7 linked regions of the Callithrix jacchus genome follow. The protein of the gene in region 1 binds, or shares a complex with, the protein of each later gene. Links are inferred from orthologs where the notes say so. Each region holds a gene or a part of one and is shown in the gene's direction. Other genes may lie near its edges. The genes, in order: DRC5, DRC9, DRC1, DRC4, FBXL13, DRC10 and DRC8.

Region 1 (3,669 bases):
CTGATCCTTAAGCACTATTCTACACCACCTCTCTTAGTAAATGCCCACCAAGACCCTCCAAAGTAACACCTCCACCCTCTTCCTTTTTCTCCAGATCCCTGCCTGTATCAAGGGTCTGCCAGTCTGAGAAGCTTCTTGTCATAAGGGCATCCAGGGGCCACCTGCCCCTACGTTGCCAGCCCCCAGCATGCAGGATAATGTAACATCAGCATTGTTGGACCCCAGCCACTCCTCAGTCTCCACCCAGGACAAGTCCTCCACTGGAGGCCACACTTCAAGCACAGGCCCACAGCCCTCAAAGCTTTCTTCAATCACACCAGTGCCTGCAAAGTCCAGGAACCCAAATTCTGGGGCCAATTTCCATCGGATGCGCCGGATCATTGCTGAGGATCCTGAGTGGTCTCTGACCATCGTGCCCCTCCTCACAGAGCTCTGCATTCAGCACATCATCAAGAACTTCCAGAGTGAGTCTGTCCCTGTTTTGGGTGGGAAGAAGAAGGCCAGGAGTGGGGCAAGGTGGGTAGGGACTGTCTGGAGCCAAGACTGCAGAAGCTGGGTCCCAGGGCAGCCCCTGCTCTCCCACATGACATCCTCATACCCCCTCAACACTTCCCTTCCACCCCAGGGCCAAGACAGCTTCTCCTGCTGTTCCCACTGGCAGGTCCCACCAGCCTCCCACCCACACTGGACCCGCCATGCCTCTGTTCTCTCCTTGCCTTTTCCACTCTCTCCAGCAAAACCCAGTCTGAGCCACATCTACTTCCTTCTCCAGAAAGCCCTCCCAAGTGAACCGCCCCCCACTCTGATGGAGTCTTCCATGCCATGTAAAGGCTCTTGGTTTGTTCTATATTTTGTGCTCTGTAATATAGATCCTTTCCAAAGATGGGTTGCCAGCCTCTCCTACCAGATGAGGAGCTCTCTGAGGACAGGACGATCATTTCATCTACAGTAACTATTGTCACCCAGTCTCATTCATTTTACTTGTTTGTTGTCAGCCTCCCCTCACTAGAATTTAAACTCCAAAAGGGATGAGCTCTGTTTTGCTTGCTTTTTTTTTTTTTTTTTTTTTTGAGACGGAGTTTCGCTCTTGTTACCCAGGCTGGAGTGCAATGGGGCGATCTTGGCTCACCGCAACCTCTGCCTCCTGGGTTCAGGCAATTCTCCTGCCTCAGCCTCCTGAGTAGCTGGGATTACAGGCACGCGCCACCGTGCCCAGCTAATTTTTTGCATTTTCAGTAGAGATGGGGTTTCACCATGTTGACCAGGATGGTCTTGATCTCTTGACCTCGTGATCCACCCGCCTCGGCCTCCCAAAGTGCTGGGATTACAGGCTTGAGCCACCGCACCCGGCCTTTGCTTGCTTTTATATCTCCAGCATGTGGGACATAGTAGTCTCTCATAGTGGTACCTTCAGTGTCTAGCACATAGTAGGTGCTCAAAAAATTTCTTGTTTTGAAATCGATGAATCAAATCAGATTGGAAGCCTCTGACCTCAGAGATTGTATCCCCCATCAGACCAGGTGATAATTGAGAGTTGAACCTGAGAGTCTGCCTCAGTCCCGGAGCTACCTGAGAACAGATGATGAGATGTCCACCTTCATGTAGGGAACATCCCAAAGCTAAAGGCTAGGTCTCCCCGTCCAATAGAGCCTCCCTGAGAGCAGAGGAAAGGGTCTTCCCTTTGCCCAGTGCCCTGAGCCAGGCCTAGCCTGAAGCATCATGGTGAGGTGTCCCCCAACACTGTGACCTCCTGCTTTCCTTCCTCTGTTCCCATAGGAAACCCTATCCTGAAGCAGCTGCTCCCGGAGCACCAGCAGAAAGTCCTGAACCACCTGTCCCCTGACCTACCACTAGCTGTGACCGCCAACCTGATAGACGATGAGAACTACTGGCTCCGCTGCTGCATGCAGCGCTGGCCCGTGTGCCACGTGGCCGAGCATGGCGGCAGCTGGAAACGCATGTTCTTTGAGCGGCACCTGGAGAACCTGCTAAAGCACTTTATCCCAGGCACCACGGACCCCGCAGTGATCCTCGACCTGCTGCCACTCTGCAGGAATTATGTGCGCAGGGTCCACGTCGATCAGTTCCTTCCGCCGGTGCGGCTCCTGGCCCAGCCCCAGACCGGGGACCAGTCGGACTCCGGCAGCGAGGGAGAAATGGAAGAGCCCGCCCTGGACCACTACCAACTGGGCGATCTGGTAGCTGGCCTGAGCCACCTGGAGGAGCTGGACCTGGTGTACGGTGTCAAGGACTGCGGCATGAACTTCGAGTGGAATCTCTTCCTCTTCACCTACCACGACTGTCACTCCTTAGCAGCCACCATCAAGGCATGCCACACCCTCAAGGTACTGTCTGCCCCCAGCCTTCACCCCATCCCTTTCAGCATCTCTCAGATTTCCTCTCCCCATCTCTCAGACTCCTTCTCCCCTCATCTTCCTCCTCCGTTATTACCATTTTCCCATTTCCTTCTCTTTCATTGGCCAAGTGGTTTTTAATGGTCCCTGCGCCAAGCTACACGGTTCTGGGTGTGCAAAAATGAACAAGGCGCTGCCCTCCCAGTTCACCAGTTTGTTTCATTTAGCAAACATCTGCTCTCCAGGCCCTGTCCTAGGTGCTGAAAATAAAACGATGAGCAAGATCGTTTGTTCCCTCTGTAGCTAACAGTCTGATGGGATAAAGGCACTAATCAACAGTCATATAAACATAAAATTGAAACTAGAATAGGGTTGCCATATTTAGCAAAGAGAAATACAGGACATCCAGTTAAATGTGAATTTCAGGTCCAGGCATAGTGGCTCACTCTGTAGTCTCCCAGCAACTGAGGAGGCTGAGGTGGGAGAACCCCTTGAGCCTAGGAGTTCAAGCCTGCAGTGAGCTTCAATCACACCATGGCACTCAAGCCTGGGTTACAAAATGAGACCCTGTCTCCAAAAAGTTTTTTAATTTCAGATAAACAAAAAATAATTTTTAGTATAAGTATGTTCTGAATATTCCATGGGGCATTGTTATTTATCTAAAATTTATATTTAACTGGGAATCATGTATTTTTTTTCTGGTACCCCTGAATTGGTATAAATGCTATAAAGAAGAGATACTTTTTTGTTTTTTTTCTTTTGAGACATAGTCTCGCACTGTTGCCCAGACTGGAGTGCAATGGCACTATCTTAGCTTACTGCAAGCTCCGCCTCATTCAAACTATTCTCATGCCTCAGCCTCCCAAGTTGCTAGGATTACAGGCGCCCGCCACCACACCCAGATAACTTTTGTATTTTTAGTAGAGACAGGGTTACACTGTGTTGGCCAGGCTGGTCTCAAACTCCTGACCTTGTGATTCGCCTGCCTCAGCCTCCCAAAAGTGCTGAGATTACAGGTGTGAGCCACCGCACCTGGCCAGAAGTGATAGTCTTATGAGAGACTATAAAGGAGCGTTTGACCTTGCAAGGGAAGAGGTCCCTGAACAAATGTCTTACATAGAGATTAGAAGGAGGAATAAGAGTTATAGTCTAAGAGGGAGGATCACTCCAGGCAGAGGGAGCAGTGCCTAAGGCTCTATGGGCAGAGTGAACATGGCCAGCTCTAGGGACTGAAAGAGAAGACGTGTGGCTGGAGCAGAGTGTGAGTGAGGAGGGTGGGACGAAAACAGAGAGGCAGTCAGTGATCAGCCTTGCT
Region 2 (3,669 bases), on another chromosome or scaffold:
ACCTGTAATCCCAGCACTTTGGGAGGCCAAGGCAGGCGGATCACAGGATCAGGAGATCGAGACCATCCTGGCCAACATGGTGAAACCCCGTCTCTACTAAAAATACAAAAAAAGTAGCTGGGCGCAGTGGTGCACGCCTGTAGTCCCAGCTACTTGGGAGGCTGAGGCAGTGAACCAAGGAGGCGGAGATTTCAGTGAGCCAAGATCACTTCACTGCAATACAGCCTGGGTGACAGTGTGAGACTCCGTCTCAAAAAAAAAAACCCAGGGTATACTCATGAAATGTACATCTTCCACAGTTATCCAGAATCAAAGTGGAAATCACAATATTAAAGACATAAAAATGACAATAGATTGGAGGTGGTGGCTCACACCTGAGATTCTACCACTTTGGGAGGCCAAGGTGGAAGAATTGCTTGAGCCCAGAAGTTTGAAACCAGCCTGGGCAACAGTGAAATCTCATCTCTACTAAAAATAAAAAAAATTATCTGGGCATGATGGTGCGTGCCTATGGTCTCAGCTACTCTGGAGGCTGAGATGTGAGAATCACCTGAGCCTGGAAAGTGAGACTCTATCTCTAAATAAATAAATACATTAATTAATAATTTTTAAAAATCACAAAGTTCCCTTTCATTTATTTTTTTCCTTCTTTGCAGACAGAGTCTTACTCTGTCGCCCATCCTAGAGTGTAGTGGTGCCTCCTCATGAGGTCAGGAGTTCAAGATCAGCCCAGCCAACATGGTGAAACCCTGACTCTACTAAAAATACAAAAATTAGCCAGGTGTGGTGGTGTGTGCCTGTAATCTCAGCTACTCAAGAGACTGAGGCAGGAGAATCGCTTGAACCTGGAAGGCAGCAGTTGCAGTGAGCCAAGATCACACCACTGCACTCCAGCCTGGGCAACACAGCGACACTCCATCTCAAAAATCATAATGAAATTGGAATTATCCCAGGAAGACAAAAATAGTTTAGCTTTGGAAAATGTAAAAAAAAAAAAGAAGAAATAAAAAGAAAGATCAAGCGATGCAGAAAAGGCATTTGGCAAAATTCCACATACATTCATCATTTAAAAACCAACAGCAAAAACCTCTTAGCACCACCATAAACCTGGCTAATAGAGTGAGTCTCTGTCTCAAAAAAAAAAGTGAAACTACATGTATTATTTAAATAAAATGCACAAACACATAATGAAAGTATCACAACATGCCAGAGAATAATCATCACCGGATTCAGAAGAGTGGTTGTCTTTGGGGAAGGTTGAGGGACTGGGATTAGAGACTTCAAATATATTTGACATATGTCTGAAAAACCAAGTCTCTACCATGGTAAAATATTTAAATTTTGTGTTATATGCAGAAATATTCATTATACTTTCTAAATTTTTGAAATACTTCATAATTTTGAAAAAAGTTAAATCATTTAAAAAAAATTTTTTAAAGACCTAATCAAACTTTTTTTTTTCTTTTTTTGAGACAGAGTCTTGCTCTGTTGCCCAGGCTGGATTGCAGTGGTGCAATCTCAGCTCACTGCAACCTCCGCCTCCTAGAGTCAAGCACTTCTCCCGCCTCAGCCTGCTGAGCAGCTGGGATTCCAGGCACGCACTACTGCACCTGGCTAATTTTTGTATTTCCCCGTGGAAATACAAAATACAAGCTGGTTTCAAACGTCTAACCTCAAGTGATCTGTCTGCCTTGGCCTCCCAAGTGCTGATATTACAGGCATGAGCCACCACGCCTGGCCTGGGTCTTAACTTGTGTGACGTCTGTAGCCCTTTGTGAATATAGGGAAATATATATACATATACATACATATTTTGTTTGTTTTGAAACCAGGTCTTGCTATGTTGTCCCAGCTGATCTCAAACTCCTGGGCTCAAGCAGTTCTTCCACCTCCGCCTCCCAAGTAGCTGGGATTAAGGCACATGCCGCTGCACCTGGCTTGAAAATTTAATGTATTAACTCATCTTTTTTTTGTTTTGTTTCTCCTCTCAGGCAGTTTTTCAGTGATGTGATTGCAGATACCATTAAGGAGTTGGAAGATTCGGGCACTTTCAACAATCTCCTGCAAGCTTTGAGCAAAGAGAGGGGGAAGAAAACGCATTTCTGTGATGTCATTGCCAGGTGAGAATACCGTATTTCTATGGTGTCATTGCCAGGTGAGAATACCGTATTTCTATGATGTCATTGCCAGTTGAGAATACCGCATTTCTATGGTGTCATTGCCAGTTGAGAATACCGCATTTCTATGGTGTCATTGCCAGTTGAGAATACCGTATTTCTGTGGTGTCATTGCCAGGTGAGAATACCGTATTTCTGTGGTGTCATTGCCAGGTGAGAATACCGTATTTCTGTGGTGTCATTGCCAGGTGAGAATACCGTATTTCTGTGGTATCATTGCCAGGTAAGAATACCGTTAGGGTTATTTGCTTTGCTGCATTTTAAAGTGCTGTAACACTCGTACTGGAAATCCTTGATTCTAAAGCAAACCAACCATTTGCTTTCCAGGGAAGATAACTAGAAGTCAGAATTTGGGTTTTCTTCCTAGTTCTGCTGGGACAATAATTCAGATTGCTGGGCCTTCATTATCTGTATTTACAATACATCAAGACTATTCTTCCTTCTCTGTTAGTCTTTCTTAAGATTGAATTCATTGAAAATCACTGAACAATAACAAATGAATGACAAGGAAAGTTTTTCTTTTCCAGGACCTTTCAACTTAGGAATTCTTTCCGAAACTCCATTTTTTTTTTTTTTTGAGACAGAATCTTGCTGTCACTCAAGTTGGAGCACAATGGCCTGATCTCAGTTCACTGCAACCTCTGCCTCCCAGTTCAAGCGATTCTCCTGCCTCAGCCTCCCAAGTAGCTGGAACTACAGGCATGCGCCACCACACCTAGCTAATTTTTGTATTTTTAATAGAGATGGGGTTTCACCATGTTGGCAAGGCTGGTCTCGAACTCCTGGCCTCAAGTGATCCACCCACATCGGCCTCCCAAAGTGTTGGGATGACAGGCGTGAGCCACCACGCCCGGCCTGAAACTCCCTTTAGATGTTCATCCAGTAATGATTGATCCTGCATTTTTCTCGTCCTTTTTTGCTCATTTACCATCAGCATTGTTTTTATTCTGCTCTTAGAGAGATTTCCTTAACTTTGTCTTGCAACTCTTTCTTTCTTCTTCTTATTTTTCTAAGACTGGGACTTGCTCTGCTGCCCAGGCTAAAGTGCAGCCTCAACCTCCCAGGCTCAAGTGATTCTCCTGCCTCAGCCTCCCAAGTAGCTAGAACCACAGATGTGTGTCACCATGTCTGGCTAATTTATTTTATTTTATTTTTGAGACGGAGTTTCGCTCTTGTTACCCAGGCTGGAGTGCAATGGCACAATCTCGGCTCACCGCAACGTCCGCCTCCTGGGTTCAGGCAATTCTCCTGCCTCAGCCTCCTGAGTAGCTGAGATTACAGGCACACACCACCATGCCCAGCTGATTTTTTGTATTTTTAATAGAGATGGGGTTTCACCATGTTGACCAGGATGGTCTCGATCTCTTGACCTGATGATCCACCCGCCTCAGCCTCCCAAAGTGCTGGGATTATAGGCTTGAGCCACCACGCCCAGCAGATCCCCCTATTTTTAGCACGGCCTTTCATCTCCACTTCCAGCTGTGTCTGGTTC
Region 3 (3,669 bases), on another chromosome or scaffold:
ATCACAGCACTTTAGGAGGTCGAGGCAGGTGGATCATCTGAGGTCAGGAGTTTGAGACCAACCCGACCAACATGGTGAAACTCTGTCTCTACTCAAAATATGAAAATTAGCCAGGCTTGGTGGTGGGTGTCTATAATCCCAGCTATTTGAGAGGCTGAGGCAGGAGAATCACTTGAACCTGGGAAGTGGAGGTTTCAGTGAGCTGAGATGATGCCACTTCACTCCAGCCTGGGTGACAGAGCAAGACTCTATCTAAAACAAAACAAAAGTATTGTGTACCATTAAAATGATGTTAATAAAACTTTACTAACATGGAGAATTGTTGCTGCAATATTGAGGGAGAAAAGTAGGATATGAAATTGTAGACATAGTCTGATTGCAGCTGTGTAAAGGACACTGGAGGGAAGCATGCTGATATTAACTGACATCATCTTCGGGGGTGCAGATATCAGTCATCAAGCAGCCTTTCTTCTGTGTCTTCTTTTTCATTTGCTGTACTTTCCACATTTTCTACAATGAGCAAATACTGCTTTTGTGCTCAGGAACAGTTTTTACAAAGAAAAATGTCTAACTAGAAAAAGTAAATAAAAAGCAAGTAGAGAAATTGAGAGGTAGATTAGTTAGATCTCAGGGACCAATAGGATTCATTTACCATCTGTTAAAAGATACTACATGCTTCTGTTCTGCAGGAGACATTCAAATATTCATCTCGTAATGGAGGTTGAAAAATCTCTGCCATGGTGATGTAGAATATCCTTGACTAATTCCCCGTTACAACGTGGGGATCACTGGATTTCACAGCACACATGGAAATGACGTGCTTCCTGACCCAATGAAGTGTCGCCTCCTTGCCAGGAGCCCTCCTCGAGTATGACCCAGAGCGGGTTGTGATAGCCACTTGGAATCACTTCCTCTGTTGATTCCTAGGCAAGATGTGTAGCCTAGCAGAGGGAGACGGGACGGAGGCTGGAGAGCGCATGCACATGGTAGCTTTATTGAGTTTCTGACTCCACTAAATTGCCTTCCCATTCCTGCATTTCACTCAGGAGAGGCAGGAGCATGCCAACCTCCAGCCTTGCCTCTCTCTGATCTTTTTTTTTCACAGATTTTCTGCAGTGACTGGACCAACCATTTTCCTTCCCTGCTTAACATTGTTAGTAGGCCTCCATTGGCGTCAGGAAAATGCTTTACATTCCTGGCCTTGGGGAGGGGTCTGCTGCTCGGAAATGGAGTCAGCCTCATTTCTGACCATTTCTTGCCTCATGTCTCACATCCTGAACTTCTTGTGGTTTTCCCAAAACAGCCCCCCTCTCTCTCGCCTCTTATATGCTGTTTCCTCTCTCTAGAGCCCTCTCCCTTCAGGTGTCACCTGCGTAACTCCAGCACATTATCTGGGCCTCGGCTAGACAGGCCATCTTTCCAGGGATGCCTTCCCTGTTTCTCAAGACCAAGGACTGTACTCTTCTCATTGGTCCCATAACTGGGCTTCCCTCTCTCTTGCTTCTTATCATTAGTGTTTTCCCAATGGCACCTGGAAAAGTATCTGATGCAGATTAGGCACATGATAAATATTTGCTGAATGAATGAATACAGCTAATGGAAGTCCAAAAAGTAAGCATGACTGTGTCTGTCCTTTTAAGTGGACCTGGGTTGTTAAACAGTAACGCTTCCACTCTGGAAGGTCAAAGTGGGGAAACTTCAAGTTTTTGTGGCTATATTTATTTCTATGGTGTTTTTTAGAGGGGCTGCTCATATCTCTAAAGGGTCTGGTGAAAGTTTCCAGAGTTAGCTGGACTTGAAATCTCTGTGATCTTTCTTAGACTTAGGTACACAGATTTGAGCTTACAGTTTGTTGACTTGTATTTTATCTTGGCCTTTAACTTGAGTCTCATGATAGACTTTGTTTACAAGGCATGCTGAGGCACTTATCCCTAAGGTTCCTCTAACATGACTTGAACAATTTATCAGAGGCCCACAAGCTAGGGCCAATTAGTCTGTGTATATATATATATATAGTATTTCAGAGCATACCTTTATTTGTGTACAATTCTAGATATAATTCACAGGGCAGATAAGTTTATAAATGTAGGGAAGTTTCTTTTTATATTACTTTCAGTATAAATTTCTGCCAATACCTTTACCTTGTACATCTTTGTTATTTCTGAGTATAGGTACAAAGATGAATAATACATCTGAATATGGATATACATAGCTAGGTAAATAAACATACACAAACAGGATTATATAAGGATGTCTATGTAAATATTTACCTATACGAAGCATGTTCCCCAAAAGACATTTTAAATACATGAGTGTATGTAATACTAAGGATACAGGTGTAGAGTTAGTATGTGTGTGTGTGTGTGTGTATTCACACACACATAATCTTTTTAACTTTAGATTCTTGAGCAGCATCTTCAGCAGAGGAAAGCAGTTTATCAGCTAAACCAAGAGAAATTGGAGTACAACCTGCAGGTGCTGAAGAAGAGAGATGAGGAAAGCACGGTGATTAAATCCCAGCAGAAGAGGAAGATCAATCGGTATGCTAGCATGCAGAGCGTCTTTCTTCTGGGCCCTTCTGTGCTGAGAATAGGGATGGGTATGTGTTTTTCTCTATTGAAGGGGTAGAAACCAGTAAAAATATAACCAACACTTAATTAAATCGTTTTTTTGGGAAAAGTTAATACATTCAAGTGGTTTCTCCCCAAGAAAAGAGTACATAGCAAAGGTCTTCCGTCCCCATCGTCTTGTTCCTCTTTCCCACCTCTGTAACATTGTTTCTTCCAGAATTTCATTAGGCACACACAAGCACACACACATACTTTCATCCCCCATCTGCTTTTACACAATGATGGTGGTCCGTACACATTGCTGTATATATTGAAGACCTCCCCTTCTCAGTTCGTAGAGAACTTTTGCGTTTTTTTTTTTTAATAGAGACAGGGTTTCACCATGTTGGTCAGGCTAGTCTTGAATTCCTGACCTCAGGTGATCCACCCGCCTTGGCCTTCCAAAGTGTTGGGATTACAGGCATGAGCCACCGCGCCCAGCTGCTTTCACGGTTTCTTAAGCTGCTTACTACCCACTGCATAGATGCACTATGATTTATTTGACCAGTCTCTAATGATGGACACATAGATTGCTTCCCGCCTTTTTCTCTTACAAATAATACCAACCTAAATACTCATGACAATGCACCAATTTGCTTTTGTGCAGACACCGTGGCTCATTGAAAGGTCCCTATTGCTTGAAACGTCTCACATGTCCTGTCCTTCCTCCTTGTCTCCTTACTTCCATCCTTCCTGCCTTTCTTCCTTTAAGAATTGCATTCTAAGTTCCAGACCACTGCGCTAGGCTCTGAGGACCAGAGTGGAAGAAGACTTCTTATTAGTAGCAGACAAGATTGAAGGTTTTTCTCCAAACCCCGAATAGCCTATTATTATTTATGAATTCTTCCACTTGTAGGTTGATAATAATACATTTTGGACACATATTGAATGTATAGAGGAACACCAGTTGACCTTTTGATAGTGACTTATCACAGAAAATGATACTGAGTAAATGGTATGTCATCTTAAGCCTGATTATCTGAGAAACAAGAATAGTCAGGGGACGATATTTATGAAAAAACATCCCCCTATATATGCACCATACCAGATAGAGGAACAT
Region 4 (3,669 bases), on another chromosome or scaffold:
GAGCTCCCCTCTGAGCACATGAAGGAGGCCTGGCGCCTTCAGCATGTCTTTCTTCCATGTGTGTATGTTTCTAAGTACTAACCTATTACTTTCTCATTGTAAAGAAGTCCTGGGGTCTTAAGTGTAAGTTAAAATGAGTCTCCAGGCCGGGTGCCGTGGCTCATGCCTGTAATCCTAGCACTTTGGGAGGCCAAGGTGGGTGGATCACCTGAGGTCAGGAGTTCAAGACCAGCCTGGCCATCATGGTGAAACCCCATCTAAAAAAAAAAAAAAAAATGAGTCTCTAGCTGCTCAGCACTGGTCTTCACACTGGCGAGCTTTGTGAGCTCCCTTCCTGGTTTCCCGGATGCTCTAGTGTGCATGTGACTGTGGATTACGAACACAGGATCAGGCATAAGCACAGCTTGCTTTTTAATCTCACAGTGTTTCAGGCTGCAAATAGGAAGCGGTTTCGCTCTCAGCCACATGGCGCTCCGATTGCTCATGTAGCTGACTCCCCTGTTTCTGATCCTCTGCTGTTGTAAGCATGGCTGCCTCAATAAATGTGTCTTTGTGCCCCTGTGTAAGATTGCGTCTTAGGAAAGCCGGTGCCTAGCAGTGGGATTGTCAGGTCTGAGGGGTCCGTGTTGAGGATTGTGATCGTCTGTCCAGAGGGCCGTTCTGAGTCACACTCCTGCCAGGGTGCTGGAGGGGCCATTTCCATCCTTCCTCAACAGGTTTAAACCTGTGCACATGTGATTGGGTGGGAAACAACTCATTTAGCGTGCGCTTCTGAGATTTCCAGTGAGTAGTAAATGCTGGGTCTTGTCTCTGTCCCTGGACACTCCCTGCCTCTGCGCAGTTTCAAAGTTCTGGCCAAGGACCGGTCCAGCACCATGGGCCCCTCAGGCTTTGTCTGTGGTTTGCGTGGCTGGAGCACCTTACCTTAAGCAGCAGTGATGGGTGCTGTTTCTGTCCTCCAACTTGATTGACATTTATGAGCACAGACAGTTGTAGTGGGGTTGGCCCCTCAGGAACATCCCGTCTGTCTGTCACATCTAGACCCACCTTCAGAGATGCCTCGGGTCCTGCAGGACTTGCACTGCTGGGCTGTGCCAGCTCCCGGGTGCAGCCCTGTTTGCACAGCTCAGGGGAAGGGCATCTGCAAGGCAGCCGGTGAGACCCAGAGGACTGCTGTGTTACACAGGGACCCTTCCTCCCCGCTGTGGGTTTTGAGTAAATGCTGGGTCTTGTCTCTGTCCCTGGACACTCCCTCCTTATTAGGAAGAGGAGAGCAGAGACGTGCCTGGGTTGGAGCCTTGTTCTCTGCCAGATTTTCTTCTATTTGGATGTAGTTCCTGAAGTTATCAAAGTCAGTGCCTCTTCCTAGAGAACCGAGAGCTCAAATTTGTCAGCAAAATGTAGAGACCAAAGACACTTACAGTCTAATGCATATGGACAAGGAACTGGATTTCCGCAAATCTGGGGAATTCTGACACCAGTTAGAAGGAGTGCAGGGCCAGGTGCTGTCCTGGAGGTGCTGCAGGTATCACAGGTTGTGGCTTTGGAGAAAGCTGCGGTGTTTTAGCATGGTCCTTTTTTCTTCCAAACACTTCCAATCCTAGCACTTTGGGAGGCCAAGGTGGGTGGATCACCTGAGGTCAGGAGTTCAAGACCAGCCTGGCCATCATAGTGAAACCCCATCTAAAAAAAAAAAAAAATGAGTCTCTAGCTGCTCAGCACTGGTCTTCACACTGGCGAGCTTTATGAGCTCCCTTCCTGGTTTCCCGGATGCTCTAGTGTGCATGTGACTGTGGATTACAAACACAGGATCAGGCATAAGCACAGCTTGCTTTTTAATCTCACAGTGTTTCAGGCTGCAAATAGGAAGCGGTTTCGCTCTCAGCGAAATCTCTAAATGCATAGAGAACATTCTAGAAGGGGTCACACCACGTGTTCATAATGGTGGCCTCTGGGAACTGGGGTTAAGGGGTTCACTTTTTTGAGCTGGAGTTTTGCTCTTGTTGCCCAGGCTGCAGTGCAGTAGTGCAATGTCAGTTTGCTGCAACCTCTGCCTCCAGGGTTCAAGCATTCCGCCAGCCTCAGCCTGCCTAGTAGCTGGGATTACAGGCACCTATGACCACACCCCGCTAATTTTTGTGTTTTTAGTAGAGAGAGTTTCACGATGTTGTCCAGGGTGGTCTTGAACTCCTGACCTCAGGCGATCCACCCACCTCAGCCTCCCAAAGTGCTGGGATGACGGGCGTGAGCCACCGTGTCGAGCTCAGGCTGTTCACTTTTTTATAATCTTCGACAAAGTCTAGATTTGTTTAGAGTGCATAATTCGTAGAAAAATTAGGTGAAAAAGAATGGTTTTACTGGCTGGCAGGCGGCTGGCTCCAAGGCTGTTCTTCAGGTCCTCCATTTGTGGGCCAGGCTGCACGTGGGATCCGAGAGAGCGCATCCTCCACGGGCCCACCCGCAGCTCTGCCTGCTGGATGCCTGGGATCCCACGTCCTCGATGAACCCACAGCCCTCGCTCGGAGCCACCCATGGAGTGGCTTTCAGGGTGGGGCTGCTCTAGCTCTTACCGGGACTCATGGCTTCTAGAGACACCTTCCTGAGAAGGCTTATGCTGTGTGGACAGCTGTGCAGAGGGCCAGCATGTGGGCAGTGTGGATAACAACCGCTCGGTGCTATGGGGGTGGGCACTGTTGGAAAGCCACCTCCCAGAGAAAGAAGCGCCGTGTTTGGGTGGGAGGCAGCTTCTCCCCAGTGAGATGTCCCCAGGGGAGGGGCCTCACAGCCCACCCAGCACTGTCCCTGCAGGTGCAGCAGGAGCGGGATGAGCTCTACCAGAAGTTCACTGCTGCTATCCAGGAGGTGCAGCAGAAGACCGGCTTTAAGAACCTGGTGCTAGAGCGCAAGCTGCAGGCGCTCAGCGCTGCTGTGGAGAAGAAGGAGGTGCAGTTCAACGAGGTGCTGGCGGCCTCCAACCTGGACCCTGCATCCCTGACGCTGGTGTCCCGCAAGCTCGAGGTAGGCCCTTGAGGTAGGCCGCCCCAGTGGGCAGCCTCTTCCCTATGGCAGGACCCTTCCGTTCCGTGCTGTGCCTCCTCGGATGGGCACAGACCCCTCGGTCAACCACTGGACGGGGGCATTCATGGGCTTCCTGTTGCCCGAGAACAGAGTGGCATGGCTGTCTCTCGCTGTCTTAGCTGGTGGTCTCCTCTCATCAGTTCTGCTGAAGTCTCTTGATCTTCCCCGGACCCTGTGTGACCTCATGGTGCCTGCTAACCTCTGGGTCTCTGCTCACTCCAGTTCTCAGGCCTGGCTCATCCAGGCATCTAAGGCTCTAGTCATCTCAGTGCAGCCTGACAATGGGTGTGGGAGTGGAAAAGCCACGTGGAGTCTCTGTGGGCCTGAGCGCCTCCGTTGGTGACAGCAAGGCCCAGGTGACAGACACAGGCCTGGAGAATGGTTGTATCTCCTGAGCTCTCAGCTCAGCCACCACCCCCATCCTGGGGCAGAGAGGGTGCCGGGATGCCCTGAGATGGGCTGGGTTAGGACATGGGCAGTGCAGGGTCATGGGAGCCTGGGGACCCTCACCCCACTTTGCAGGTACTGGGGACATGAGGTCTAAGAAGAGCCCGGAACATTCCATCGTTCTGTGTCACAGTTATGTATGGT
Region 5 (4,227 bases), on another chromosome or scaffold:
GATCCTCAGTTGACTCAAGTAGGTAAAGGAGTTTCTGAAGTTGTTCAGCATTCAGGACATCGTCATACGAACCATCAGTTAAGTCTTCTGCATAAGAAGAAAGTTATTTGAAGTTATATAAAATCAGTATGAGATTATTTTTGAGACAGGCTCTCTCTCTAGTTGTGTTAGCTAATTGCCTTCATCCAGGGCAAAAGTAAAAATATCTTTATGATGTGGAACCAGGTGCCCATTAGCAAATTGCCCGAGATGGTGAGGCAATCTAGTTTGTGCTTATTTAACAATGAAGCTGTTTAGTTTTCTTCTGCAGTTGTGGACAGGAGTTTCTTGGATGGCAGATGTGATACTTTAAATTATTTCCCTAACAGCTTCCATGATGTGAAATATCCTTTCTGAGAGTTTTAACGTACCATTCAACTTTTGGACAGAAACCGAATCACGCATTTGTCCCCTAGGAGGGTGTGTCTCGCGCAGACAACTGTTCCCATTTCCAAAACACACATCAGGCTTCGAGGTCTTGGACCACTGTGACTCCCAGGGACCTCCCCTCTAAGGCCGGGCCGAGCGCCCGCACAACTGTCCCTCTGGCGTCCCTTCTTCCAGGGAACCTGAAAGCAGAGCTTCACTTACCGCTCCCGGCCCCTCAACAGCCTTTCCACAATCTGGAGAATCCCTTTAGTTACACAAAGGCCCGGAGCACGCTTTGAAGAGAGGCCATCAACAGGCTTTTAAGAAACCTAATCCTCCACTGTGACGCGGCGCTCGGGCCGGAAAGCTCGGACAAGTTTTCATGTCAGTATAGTGAACAAAGAAGCATGGACAAGTTTTCATGCCGGTATAGCGAACAAAGGCGCAGCGGGGCGACGCAGCACCCTGCACCCACGCAAGTATCGCCTCTCCCTCTAGCTCGGCTCCTCATTTTACCTCAAGGACACACAAGCCACCACTCGGGCCTGGGGAGCCCTTCAGCCCAGTTCCAGCACCCGGCGGTCTCACCTGCGGACTGCGAGGGGCGCAGAACGAGCCCGCGGTCGCCCCGCCGCCGACGGCGCGTCAGCCTGTAAATGCAGTAGCATGCGCCGGCGCCGAGGAGTAGGCCCGCCGCCACCCAGCCCACGCCCCGGGCGCCACCCATGCTGCCGCCGCGGCAGAGCCGCAGGGCCAGGCCCGAGCAGGAGGCTAGTCTGGGCCAGCGCAGATATCTTCAGAACAGGCGGGCCTCGCCGCCACAGCAGCCGGAGAGCTACTAGGTTGTGGAGAAAGGAAATGGGGGTCTGAGCTCCGCCTCCCGGAAACCGCCCAGCTCAAAACCTATAACCGCCCACTAGGGCCGGGCGCATCCCGGAGGCTTTCACCAGGTGAGGCGGGTGGTGCGCTGGACGCCGGGAGGAGCAGCTGGGACCACGCGCCCCACGCGGAGACGTCGGCGCCGCCGGCAACCCTAAGCCGGCTTACGCGTCGCTTCTCCCGGGGCGTAAAGCGAGCCTCCCTCCCTCCCGCATAGGGCTGTGGAGCGCGGGGCGACTCCGCCCCGCCCCGTGGTTGTCAGGACAACGTCCTTCGCGCCAGGCCCCCTAGTTCCCGCGCGGGGAGGGGATGAGCGCAGCTTCTCCGTCAGGCCTCGGACCATGGCCTCGCTACGCAATGCCAACCCGAGGCTGAAGAACTACTTCAAGGAGAACTACATTCCTCAGGTCTGCGAGGTAATGGACACGCGTGGCGCAGACTCGGACCAACGTGGGTAGTTAAAAGGGGGAGGAGTCAGGGAAGACTTCCCGAAGGAGGGACTAAATTAGCGGGTTAGGGGAGGAGTGGAGGGAAGGCGGGGCGGAATGCCAGAAAGTGAAGTCAAATTGGGACTTGTGGGCGCTCTGGCTGAGGATGCAGATGAGAGAGAAGACAGAGGGTGGTGGTAGCTGCACGTGGGCAGTGGTTGACATCTCTCAGGGGAAAGAACACAAGGCCCAGGACGGAAAACGCAAACTCAGTTTTTAAGGTTTGGACAAGAAGTGCCTGAGGACTGGAGGAGGAGTGAGAAAGAAGTGCCAGAGAGTGTGGGGAGGAAAATCAGTAGAGTGGCATTATGAAAAGAGTTGTCAGAAGTAGGGAGTCAGCACTAGTCACCTAAGATAAGGACCTGAATTCTGCCCAGCGTAAGCCTTGGGGAGCTGTGAGGACAGAAACTAGTTAGAGGTTAGCTGAGGAGAGGGTGGAAGCTGAGAACTTTGGTCAGTGGAGCCAGCCCTTTGTGAAGTAAGGACCCTCTCAACCAGGATTGCCTTTAGACAGGAGGAAGGACTTGCTCCCCACTCCCATTATATTAGAAGGGAAGGAAGACAGGAAGGGGATAGTTACTAGGTGTTGTAGGTTTTGGGGATAGAAGGCTGAGAAAGTTTGCCTTTGCTGACCTTTTTTTTCCCTACTACAAATAGTTGGTGAGATATTGGCCAAGAATGTGCGTGTTTGAGTGGGGATGGGGCTATTGGTGCAGTAGGAGGTTTGAGCAAAGATACATTATGAGGAGAATGAGGGAGAGAGATGTTTAGGGCAGGAAAGAGGAGAGTCCAGGTTAGTAACTAATCTCCTTGGCGGTTTCTGGGGGCAATTTGGTAGACTTCCTCCCTTCCCCCTCCCCACCCTCGTTTCCCTTTTTGGATGGTACCAGAGAAATATATATTAAAATGTTCGGCCAGACGTGGTGGCTCACGCCTATAATCTCAGAACTTTGGGAGGCCGAGGCGGGTGTATCACGAGGTCAAGAGATCGAGACCATCCTGGTCAACAAGGTGAAACCCTGTCTCTACTAAAAATACAAAAATTAGCTGGGCATGGTGGAGCGTGCCTGTCTATAGTCCCAGCTACTTGGGAGGCTGAGGCAGGAGAATTGTTTGAACCCAGGAGGCGGAGGTTGTGGTGAACCGAGATCGCGCCATTGCACTCGAGCCTGGGTAACAAGAGCGAAACTCCGTCTCAAAAAAAAAAAAAATGTTAAATACATGTACCCTTTAACCAAGCATTTCCACTTTTGGGAATCTACTTTAGAGAAATACTTGCACATGTGTTCAGAAGGATGTACAAGGATATTCATCATAACTTTGTTTCATAGTAAAAATAGTAAATGACCTAACAGTGACTAAGGGAATGAGATATTATGTAGAATAAAGTATATCAAAGTATATCTGTAAATACTAAGAAGAAAATGCCCTCCAAGATTTATTATTATTATCATCATCATTATTATTGAGACACAGGGTGTTGGTCTGTCACCCAGGCTAGAGTGCAGTGGCTCCATCCTTGCTCACTGCAGCCTAGAACTCCTGGGCTCAAGTGATCTTCCCACCTAGGCATACCTGGCTCCTAACACTTATTATTAAGTAAAAAAGAAAAAGTGCAAGTTGCTTAGCAACTATCCATTCTGTTCTAGCTGTCCGATTATTTAATATATGTTGTATATATGTTTATGTGTACATATATATGTGTATATCTGTAAGACAATTCATGCCTTGTCTTGTGGAATGGTTTTAGGGGAGGAGATGGAGAATTCTAAGTTTTTACTCTATCCATAGCTGTATTGTTTTAATTTATTACAGTGAGTTTCATGTTGTACTTTAAGTTTACTAATTTTGTTTTATGTTGTGTCCAGTCTACTCTTAAGTATATCAAATGAAATCTTAACTTCAGACATGTTTTTTAGTTTTAGAATGACCATTTGATTTTTAAAATAAATTCTGATTATTAGAATTATGCATCTTTTCATTCATTTTGCCTTTTTCTGTTTTATTTGTTCCCTCCAAATCTGTTGAAATTTGATCCCCAGTGTTGGAGGTGGGGCCCAGCAGTAGGTATTTGAGTCTTTGGGGCAGGTGCCTCCAGAATGGCTTTGTGCCCTCCGCTGTGATAATGAGTGAGCTCTTGCTCTATTAGTTCACCCAAGAGCTGGTTGTTTAAAAGAGCCTCCTTCCAGCTGTCTCTCTGACTCCCTCAGTATGTCAATCCTCAGTTGTCAAATGGGCTCTCACTAACATAGTCCTACATTTCCTAGTACTTTCGTTACTGACTATTCCATTACACCCACAGTGAAAGAGTAGACCAAAAAAAAAAAAAAAAAAAAAAATCCATAGGAGGCCAAAGCAGGTGGATCACCTGAGGTAAGCAGTTCAAGACCAGCCTGACCAACATAGAGAAAACCCATTGCTACTAAAAATACAAAATTACCCAGGCATGGTG
Region 6 (4,249 bases), on another chromosome or scaffold:
ATGCCACTGAATGTGCTACAATGCACAGGTGAGACCTCCAGAAACAAAGAATTACGTGGCTCAAAATGTCAACTGAGCTGCTGTTGAAAAATCCTATCTCAGCCTGTATTCCCACTTTACAAATGAGGAAATTGAAGCTTGGAGTGATTAACTTGCCTCTTTTAAGTTTCAATACAGGCAGTCCGAATTCAGGAACTCTCCCTGCTTAACCATTACTCTATATACACCTACGACTAGAACCAGTCCCCCGATTTTTGAATTCAAACACATCATTTTTCCAGGGAGACTAAAATGAGGCCCAGAGAGGGGAAGAGACTTGCCCAAGGTCACACAGTGCAGAAGCAGGGCTAGAACCCGGGACTCCTGAGTCCCGGTCCAGTGTTCCCTTCGCGGGCTTTGCTTCCGGCTCTAGAGAGAACCCAAATGGCCAACCCTGGGGAAAGGGCCCAGGGGAAGAGAGGGCCAGCTGCCATCCCGCTGTCCGCTGGGGCAGCTGACCCGGGCACTAGACTCCTGCGGGGTCACCTGAGGGCGCCAGGGAGAAGGGCGAGGGAGGGAGGAAGGAGGAGGCAGGAGCGCCGGCTCCAGCTCCACGTGCTCCCACACCCTGGCTGGACGCCCACGTGAGGGTCGTCCCAAGAAGTTCGGGGCGAAGAAAGTGGGTGCAAAGCCCCCGCCCGGGCTGGACGGAGAGAAGAGCGCCGAAGCCTTCCCCGCGGCCCCTCCGGGCCCTTCCAGCCCACCTCCCACACCAGAGTGCCGCTCCACAACCCCTTACTCCGAGCCCTCTGACCCCTGGTCCCTGCCCTCTCCCTCGGGCCAAGCCCTCGCATCCCTCGGATTCTTACACGCGCCGCCCCAGCAACCCGAACCATGCGCCGGGGTCCGCACCGCGCAGCCCAGCCCTCCGGCGCCGCCGCCAAAACCCCGAGCCCGAAGCTGTTGCAGCAGCCGCAGCTGCACCTACTTCAGCCACTGCCACCACGGCAGCTGCGCCAGCTCTCCCATCCGCCGCCTACCGTCCTCTCAACCCCGCTGGCTCCGCCCCTTTCCCCTTGACAGCGACCTACTGGCTAACTGGGATACCATGATGAGTTCTGATTGGTCATATCTCACGTCCTTCCGCAGGTCTCGCCCGCTGCCGATGCAGTACTCCCTGCCCGCCTCCTTAAGAAGGGGCGGGACGAATAATCCACGCCCCTTTCTCCTCCCATCTGCCCCGCCTTACTCTTTGAGGGCAACCCAGAGGGAGTCCCCAGTCTTTCCATTGGTGAAAGGTCAAAATGATGGTGCTTCTGATTGGTCAGGCTTCAGGAGGTGGGGACAACTGAGCGGAACAAGGAATTGAGTGGTGAAAAGAAAGGTCAGTCAGACGCCAAGTCCCGCCTTCTGAGATTGGCAAGTAACCTAGCAACGCAGGGACCGCTGCGATAACTGTGGCTAGGGAAACCTGGAGCCTTCAGTGCAGGTGAGTAACCAGGTAGGGAAGGGTCGCGGATCGGGGGAGATGTGGAATGGGCTTCAGCTCGCTGCCCTTTGGCTCCCTGAGGAATCAGTGGCCCTCGCTGCGATCCCGTCTCAGCTTCAGGACCCTGTTCCTCGGCCCCAGCCTAAGTCTAAACCTCTCACTCCACAGCCTGCAGGGAGCCGGCCTCCATTCTGCCCTTTCTTCCAGCCCACTTCAAGGCCCCACTCCCCCATCCCTAAAACGAGGAGGACACCAGTCCAGCAGAGTCACATCGTAGTTAACTTATTTCAAATCAAACAAGTTGGAGGGAAGTTTCTAAGTCCCCTGCCATTCCACCCAACGGCCATACGTTCCTCGGTGAGCATGCATCTCAATTCAGTGTTTAAATCAGGTTTTGTGTTGTTTTTGGCGGAGCGCGGTGGCTCACGCCTGTAATTCCAGCACTTTGTGAGGCTGAGGCGGGCGGATCCCTTGAGGTCAGGAGCTCGAGACCAGCCTGGCCAATATGGTGAAACCCCATCTCTACTGAAAATCCAAAAATTAGCTGGGCGTGGTGGCACACCTGTAATCCTAGTTACACGGGAGGCTGAGGCACGAGAATCGCTTAAACCCGGGAGACCAAGGTTGCAGTGAGCCGAGATCGTGCCATCGCACTCCAGCCTGGGCGACAGAGCGGGACTCCGTCTCATAAATAAATAAATATATAAAGTAATTTTTATTATACCACTTTTACCTTTTGTCCTAACTTTGTAATTTAACTCCCCATTCTGGTCCTTAAGATGTGATCTCAGCCCGGCGTGGTGGCTCACGCCTGTAATCCCAGCACTTTGGGAGGTCCAGGTGGGCGGATCATGAGGTCAGGAGATCGATACCATTCCGGCCAACATGGTGACACCCCGTCTCTACTAAAAATAAGAAAATTAGCTGGGCATGCTGGCAGGCCCCTGTAATCCCAGATACTTAAGGGGCTGAGGCAGGAAAATCACTTGAACTTGGGAGGTGGAGGTTGTGGTGAGCCAAGATCACACCACTAACACTCCAGTCTGGAAGAGAGTGAGACCCTGTCTCAAAAATAAATAAACTAACATATAACCTAGCAATTCCACTCAGGAATGTGTTGAGAAATGCTGACTGTATGATAAATATATTGTTTGCTAAGAAGAATGATGGCAAGGAAAACCTAGCCGTGCCCCCCCCCCAAGTGGAAAACTACTTGGGGCACTCTAAAGTAGCAAGACAGTATTTGTATATCATACACCACTTAAAATAAATCTTTAAGCGCGAGAGAGGTGACCCTGCCCCTGTGGCTCCCTCGTAGAGGATGCTTTCTGGTTTGTCTGTGATCAGTGGTGAGCAGGCACCAGGTGCCTACCTACTTTATTTTTGTTCTATGAGAAAACACAGAACACCTGTTTGTTAATAATAATCACCTATTCAGAGAGAATAACTATGTGAGTCAGAATCTGCTTGAGGCCCTCAGCCTGGAATGCTGTCAGCACCTGAGGTTCTCAGCTCTGAAAGCTGTTGGTCCCAGGATAGTCCCACTTTGCTGTTCTTTCTGGGTGTCTGCTTCTTAATGCCTTTAGCACTGCCTGGGTGGGGGTCTGTATGGCCACGCTGGTCTCTGTAGGAATGTACCCCCACCAAGTGAAAACATATGTTCCCAGAAAGACTCAAATATAAATGTTCTTAGCAACATCACCCTTAGTAGCCCCAAACTGGAAACAAACCAAATGTCATCAACAGGTGAATGGATAAACAACTTGTGTTATTTCCATAGAATGGAATATTATTCAGCAATAAAATACCATTCAGGAACAAAATACTAATTATTGCTGTAACCTGGATGAACCTGAAAACATGTTAAGTTAAGGGTTTTTGGCCCAGTGGCTCACGTCTGTAATCCCAACAATTTGGGAGGCCAAGGCAAGAGGATTGTTTGAGCCTAGGAGTTTGAGATCAGCCTGACAACAAAGTGAGACCCCCTCTTTACAAAAAATACAAATATTAACTGGATGTGGTAGCATGTGCCTGTAGTCTCAACTATTCAGGAGGCTGAGGTGGGCAGATCACCTGAGCCCAGGGAGGTCAAGGCTGCAGTGAACCATGATTGCACCACTGCACTCCAGCCTGGGTGACAGAGTAAGACCCTATCTTTGGAAAAAGCAAAAGTCAAGATTTTTCAACCTTAGCTCTGTTGACATTTTGAGCACAATAATTCTTTGTTGCGGGGGACTATCCTGCCAATTGTAAGATGTTTAGCAATAACACGAACCTCTACCCACAAGATGCCAGTAGTAGCCTCTCTCAGTTGTAATAAGCAAGTGCATTTCCTGATTATTGCCAAAAGTCTTCTGGGGGCAAAGTGGCCCCAGGTTGAAAACCACTGTGCTAAGCAAAAAGTTAGATGCCAACGATTACGTCCTGCATGATCCCATTTCTGTGAACTATCCAGGAAAGTTAAATGTGAGTAGAGGCCAGGGTCCGTGGCTCATGCCTATAATCCCAGTATTTTGGGAGGCCAAGGCAGGTGGATCACTTGAGCCCAGCAATTTGAGACCAGTCTGGGCAACATGGTGAAATCCCGTCTCTTCTAAAAACACAAAAATTAGCAAATCCTGTCTCTCCTAAAAACACAAAAATTAGCCAGGCATGGTGGTACACCCCTGTGATTCCAGCTACTCAGGAGACTGAGGTATGAGAATTCCTTGAACCTCACAGCAGAGGTTACGGTGAGCCTAGATCGCGCCACTGCACGCCAGCGTGGGTGACAGAGTGAGA
Region 7 (4,414 bases), on another chromosome or scaffold:
AGCATAGTGAATAGTAAGCCTGAGACCAACCTCAGGGTTTCCTACACTTCTTTCCAAGCCCTTCATTATGCATATGGAGAGAGGGAGTCTTTAAACACAAATATTTAGATCATATCAACTATGAGATTTAGATAAAGGAATGCTAATAATTACTTTTCATTATTTTTGGTGTGTTAAACATTTTTTGTACAAGACTGTATTCAACCATCTTCTAACAAAAGCCATTTTGTAATGATTCAGTTGTTTATATTCAATTTCTAACACGAGCCATTTTGCAATGATTCAGTTGTTTATATTCAGTTTCAACTCAATTCAATATTGAATTCATATTCTGTTCAAGTTATTCAATTTCAATTTGGTGCTGATCCAATGGGTATCTTCTACAGAAAAAGTACGTTAACAAAGAAAAATATAGTCAGTTTTAGGATTTGAGAGATTATAGAACCAGAATACAAGCATTCAAATTGTTCAGTCATTAAATACGAGTACCTTGTATTTTGAAGGCCTCTTTAAAGGTACAGTTAATAGTTTATAAATTGCTTTTACATAACATATGCACTGAAATACCCTTTAAGATTAGTTTTGAAAACAGGTATTCATTCGAACCACATCATTCGGTATTTTCTTCAAAGCTCTTTATAAAAGAAAAACGTTCTAGTAAACTTATCCTGAAAATAAGACAAAAATTTAACCTCATGCTATAGCTGCAAAGTTTCCTGAAAGCAGAATTTAAAACTTCCATTATAAGTTTAACCAGCGGTCCTGTTCAATTTCACCTGAGAACGTTTTACCGCATGTAATACTGAGCATAACACGGGCACGTTTTTGTTGCTATGAGAACCTTCTATTTTGATTAGAAATTGCAGCCTTGACGACGCAATGTTTGCGCCTATTTTGCGCATGTTTTTCTACAGCTATTTCTCTCCTCTAGTAATAGCAATCGAATGGCTCTGGCTTCCTCTTCCTCGGCCCAGTTTTTCCGTTTGAGCTTCAGCCGTCCTAGGCTGCGCTGTGGCTTTCTCCGGGAAAGGGCGGTGAGGACTGGCCGGGGGAAACCGGGAGGCAGGAGCGGCGTTTCTGCAGCAGCCGGGCCGCGGGCTGGTTCTGTCCCCGCCGTGGGAGCCCAGCTCTTCACCTACTCTCTGGCTGCTTTTCAAAATCTGCAGTTAACAACAGAAACCGAGCCACGCCACGTCGCACCAACAGGACCGGAGGGGGAGAGGGGTGTGTGTGCGCGCGCGTGCGGCCCCCAAAAGGATGAGAAATAAGGGACAGGAGGGGCTGGGGGCCGTGTGACTCAGGGACACTGCTAGGCCTCGGGTCCGCAGGGACAAGGCTGGGGGCCGGGTGGCGCGACGCGCGGGTGCCGCTGGCAGACGGCGCTTCTGGTCTTCCCGCTGCGCGAGGGTCGCGGCGGGAAGCCGGGACCGGGCGCGCGCTCCGAGCCTCCTCCCCGCCCCGGGCGCCCCGCCCCAGGGTCTTCCTCCCCCGCGATTCGGGGCGGCCCCTCCTCCCGGCCAGGTTGGCCGCGGGGCGCTAAGCCGGCCGGGACCCCGCGGCTGAGGTTGTCGTTAGGCATCTCCCAGGCGACCGTAGCAAGATGGCGGACGAGACGGACAGGGAAGGTAAGGCCGGGGAGCCGGGGAGCCGTTGCCCTCACCGCCCGCCGCGACCCCGGGCTGCTGGGCGCAGCGCCGGGTGGGGGTGGGCCCTCGTCCATCTGGAGTCCCCACCCGCAGGGACCGGGTGGCCTGAGGAGGGGCCCACCCAGCAGGGGCAGCCGCGCGGCCCCGTCTCCGCCGCTCCGCCCCGCCTCCTCCCTCCCCAGTCCCCCTTCTCTCCCCTCCCCCCTCCCCCCCTCTTCCCTCCTCCCTCCTCCCCCCTCCCTCCTCCTCCCGCCGCGTCCTTCTTCCCCTCCCTCGGAGGCCGGGCCTGGGCTCCGGCGCGGGCTGCAGCGGAGGCGCCGCCACGGGGCTGCTGATAATGGTGTCGTTGTTCAGTGCCGCGGGGAAGCAGCAGCCGCCTCCGCACCCTCCTGGGCTCTCGGTGCCGCAGGCGCCACGCCCTTAGCTGTCCAGGCTGTGGGCCCCGGGGGCGGCCGGGTGAGGACGCGTTCTGGCCGCCAGAATTTGGCGCGATCCTGTTGGCGCCGAAAACCCGCCCTGGCGCAGCCTGATGGCGTTCGCCGCCACCATTTTGCCTTCTTAATGAGGACGCGGGAGGACGGTCTGGAGGTCACAGCCGCTGCCTCCGAGCTTCTCCTGCCTCGGAAATGCCTGCCTTGCGGCCGGCCGGCGCCGAGCAACCGGCCTGGACTCTTAAAAAAAAAAAAAAAAACACACACAACAAAGACATACACCCAAACGGCAATGTTAATAAAGACGAAACACCAAAACCCCGCCGAGACCGCGGAGCCGCTGTACGCCGGGGGCGGGGGGGCCTCTCCCGCGGTCCCCGGGGACCCCCGGCCCCGCGCGGTGGCCGCCTGCAGAGGCGCTGTGCGCTTCGAGGCGTAAGGTCGCCAGATCAAGAGGCGTCAATGTGTTGCCTGCGCCGAGACGCCAAAAAGGGATGACGTTTCTTGGCCAGACCGTTCATGTTGTTTTCAATTCGTGGTATAATTTATGATGTGATCAAAACCCGATCCTCGGTTACCAAGACCTTAGGTTCTCAAGAATAATTGCGTTTGGTAGTTGGCAAAGTCACCAAGACAAAACAATGTCCCAAAACCCGTGAAACTGAACAACTACGAAGTGAAAATACATTCCCCCTTTGCTTGCCTTCTCGCATCCTCACAACGCCCTCTCGTGCCGTTTTTCTCCGCATGGAACCGAGTGTGGTCAGGTTCACAGCTAATAAACGAGCCCTGAGCTATTTAGTCACTTGTTAAGGTGATCACAGAAAATAGGCGGCGACATGAAACTGCCAGCGTCTGCCTATTGATAGCAAGAATCCTGTGATTTTATATGATATGAATCTGAGAAGCCGGGATTATTTTATAGGTATTACCGTGATGAAGATGCCCTTACATACACAGAAAAGGTTACTTTTAAGATTTCCCCAGAAAAATGAATAAATTATTTTTGTTCCTTATTAAAAAAAAAAAAAAAAAGGAAAACCATTAAGAGAGAGACTAGAAAAGTAATTATGGATATTTGTTTTCTTTTTTTTGACTTTTGGGGCCAAGTAGCCAGATACTTGTTTTCTTAAAAAACACTTGGTTAGGTCAGCATGAGACACAAACAGGAATATGGTACTAATACAGTATTTATCGTTTTTAAAAAATAGATTGAGAGCTTTCCTGGTTTTTCAACTTTTGAACAATATTTTTCTATTTAAGAAAAATTCAGAGATGCAATTCTGTCAACTCACAGAAGAAGTAATGACTATTAAAAGCTGGATGCCATTCATTCAGAATCCGTATATTTAATAACTTCATGTAGATAAGGCATTCTGCTTAGAACTCTGAAAGATACAAAAATGAAAAAGACATTGTCTTAGCTCCCAAGAAAGCTGAGCTCAGTAAGGGAGCTGAGATGCATACGAATGGGAGGGAATAGTTAACTGCGCTGCGTGGACTCCGTGCCAGCCACTGTGTTAGGTGTGTGTCTTTGTAGTCTGCGGACAGCAGCCTGGGCATTACTGGCTGCCCCCCACCAGTGAATCAGAGTCTTCATTTTAACGTATCTGTAGGTGATTTGTATGTACATTAAAGTTTGGGAAGTACTCATATGGCATATCTCATTTATGGTTTACAGTTTTATGAATTAACTAATTGCAGTTTGAAGGGTATGATGAACTAAAGGCATTTTGTCAGAGGATAAAATAAGTAAAGACTCACTTTGTTGATAAGACTTTTTATGGAAATAGTCCATTACTATATTTGATTTTCAGCTACTCTATTTTGAATTTTCATAAATTACATCTAGCCAATTAATCCGAATTAAGTTTTGAGGATTCACTCAGCTAAACTCATAAAAGACTGATGTGCAAACCTGAATGATTTATTAGTTTAAATAGTGGTATATACATTGACCTGAAGGCTGATTTTGGTAATGTAACATACTGTTTTATGGGTACTAAGCTTTGGGTAGTGTGAATTTATATTTCAGAAGTCATTTGATGACCATGGAATCACACAAAAGAGAGGATAATTTTGAAGGATATGTTCATTACCCTGTAAGTTCCAAAAGGTCAGCGACCATTTCTGATCTGTTAATGTTGAATATTGTGCAGAGTGCTTGGCACATGGTAGGTAATCAATACATATTTGTTGAATTCAGAACATTTGAATTAATCAAAGACAGCTTTTTTTTTTTTTTTTTGAGACGGAGTTTCGCTCTTGTTACCTAGGCCGGAGTGCAATGGCGCGATCTCGGCTCACCACAACCTCCGCCTCCTGGGTTCAGGCAAT

Evidence for each region.
Region 2: DRC5 (region 1) and DRC9 share a complex: the UniProt entries of both Homo sapiens proteins name them as parts of the nexin-dynein regulatory complex. The link is inferred for Callithrix jacchus from reciprocal best matches to the Homo sapiens genes DRC5 and DRC9.
Region 3: DRC5 (region 1) and DRC1 share a complex: the UniProt entries of both Homo sapiens proteins name them as parts of the nexin-dynein regulatory complex. The link is inferred for Callithrix jacchus from reciprocal best matches to the Homo sapiens genes DRC5 and DRC1.
Region 4: DRC5 (region 1) and DRC4 share a complex: the UniProt entries of both Homo sapiens proteins name them as parts of the nexin-dynein regulatory complex. The link is inferred for Callithrix jacchus from reciprocal best matches to the Homo sapiens genes DRC5 and DRC4.
Region 5: DRC5 (region 1) and FBXL13 share a complex: the UniProt entries of both Homo sapiens proteins name them as parts of the nexin-dynein regulatory complex. The link is inferred for Callithrix jacchus from reciprocal best matches to the Homo sapiens genes DRC5 and FBXL13.
Region 6: DRC5 (region 1) and DRC10 share a complex: the UniProt entries of both Homo sapiens proteins name them as parts of the nexin-dynein regulatory complex. The link is inferred for Callithrix jacchus from reciprocal best matches to the Homo sapiens genes DRC5 and DRC10.
Region 7: DRC5 (region 1) and DRC8 share a complex: the UniProt entries of both Homo sapiens proteins name them as parts of the nexin-dynein regulatory complex. The link is inferred for Callithrix jacchus from reciprocal best matches to the Homo sapiens genes DRC5 and DRC8.

The regions. Positions count from the first base shown.
Region 1 is NC_133505.1:52,749,852-52,753,520, reverse strand, and holds part of DRC5 (dynein regulatory complex subunit 5), read left to right. Parts: intron 1-94; 5' UTR 95-187; coding exon 188-464; intron 465-1,776; coding exon 1,777-2,345; intron 2,346-3,669. UniProt on the Homo sapiens protein: Component of the nexin-dynein regulatory complex (N-DRC) a key regulator of ciliary/flagellar motility which maintains the alignment and integrity of the distal axoneme and regulates microtubule sliding in motile axonemes.
Region 2 is NC_133518.1:81,458,430-81,462,098, reverse strand, and holds part of DRC9 (dynein regulatory complex protein 9), read left to right. Parts: intron 1-1,991; coding exon 1,992-2,120; intron 2,121-3,669. UniProt on the Homo sapiens protein: Component of the nexin-dynein regulatory complex (N-DRC), a key regulator of ciliary/flagellar motility which maintains the alignment and integrity of the distal axoneme and regulates microtubule sliding in motile axonemes.
Region 3 is NC_133515.1:88,561,237-88,564,905, reverse strand, and holds part of DRC1 (dynein regulatory complex protein 1), read left to right. Parts: intron 1-2,400; coding exon 2,401-2,540; intron 2,541-3,669. UniProt on the Homo sapiens protein: Component of the nexin-dynein regulatory complex (N-DRC) a key regulator of ciliary/flagellar motility which maintains the alignment and integrity of the distal axoneme and regulates microtubule sliding in motile axonemes.
Region 4 is NC_133521.1:47,675,415-47,679,083, forward strand, and holds part of DRC4 (dynein regulatory complex subunit 4), read left to right. Parts: intron 1-2,808; coding exon 2,809-3,018; intron 3,019-3,669. UniProt on the Homo sapiens protein: Component of the nexin-dynein regulatory complex (N-DRC), a key regulator of ciliary/flagellar motility which maintains the alignment and integrity of the distal axoneme and regulates microtubule sliding in motile axonemes.
Region 5 is NC_133512.1:73,437,625-73,441,851, reverse strand, and holds the start of FBXL13 (F-box and leucine-rich repeat protein 13), read left to right. Parts: upstream 1-1,332; 5' UTR 1,333-1,628; coding exon 1,629-1,703; intron 1,704-4,227. Other genes in the region: ARMC10 (armadillo repeat-containing protein 10), read right to left, coding at 1-87, 997-1,135. UniProt on the Homo sapiens protein: Substrate-recognition component of the SCF (SKP1-CUL1-F-box protein)-type E3 ubiquitin ligase complex.
Region 6 is NC_133510.1:116,197,158-116,201,406, reverse strand, and holds the start of DRC10 (dynein regulatory complex protein 10), read left to right. Parts: upstream 1-1,427; 5' UTR 1,428-1,468; intron 1,469-1,801; exon of another isoform or gene 1,802-1,825; intron 1,826-4,146; exon of another isoform or gene 4,147-4,249. UniProt on the Homo sapiens protein: Component of the nexin-dynein regulatory complex (N-DRC), a key regulator of ciliary/flagellar motility which maintains the alignment and integrity of the distal axoneme and regulates microtubule sliding in motile axonemes.
Region 7 is NC_133520.1:41,228,038-41,232,451, reverse strand, and holds the start of DRC8 (dynein regulatory complex protein 8), read left to right. Parts: upstream 1-1,521; 5' UTR 1,522-1,522; coding exon of another isoform or gene 1,523-1,600; coding exon 1,601-1,625; coding exon of another isoform or gene 1,626-1,704; intron 1,705-1,705; coding exon of another isoform or gene 1,706-1,720; exon of another isoform or gene 1,721-1,811; intron 1,812-4,414. UniProt on the Homo sapiens protein: Component of the nexin-dynein regulatory complex (N-DRC), a key regulator of ciliary/flagellar motility which maintains the alignment and integrity of the distal axoneme and regulates microtubule sliding in motile axonemes.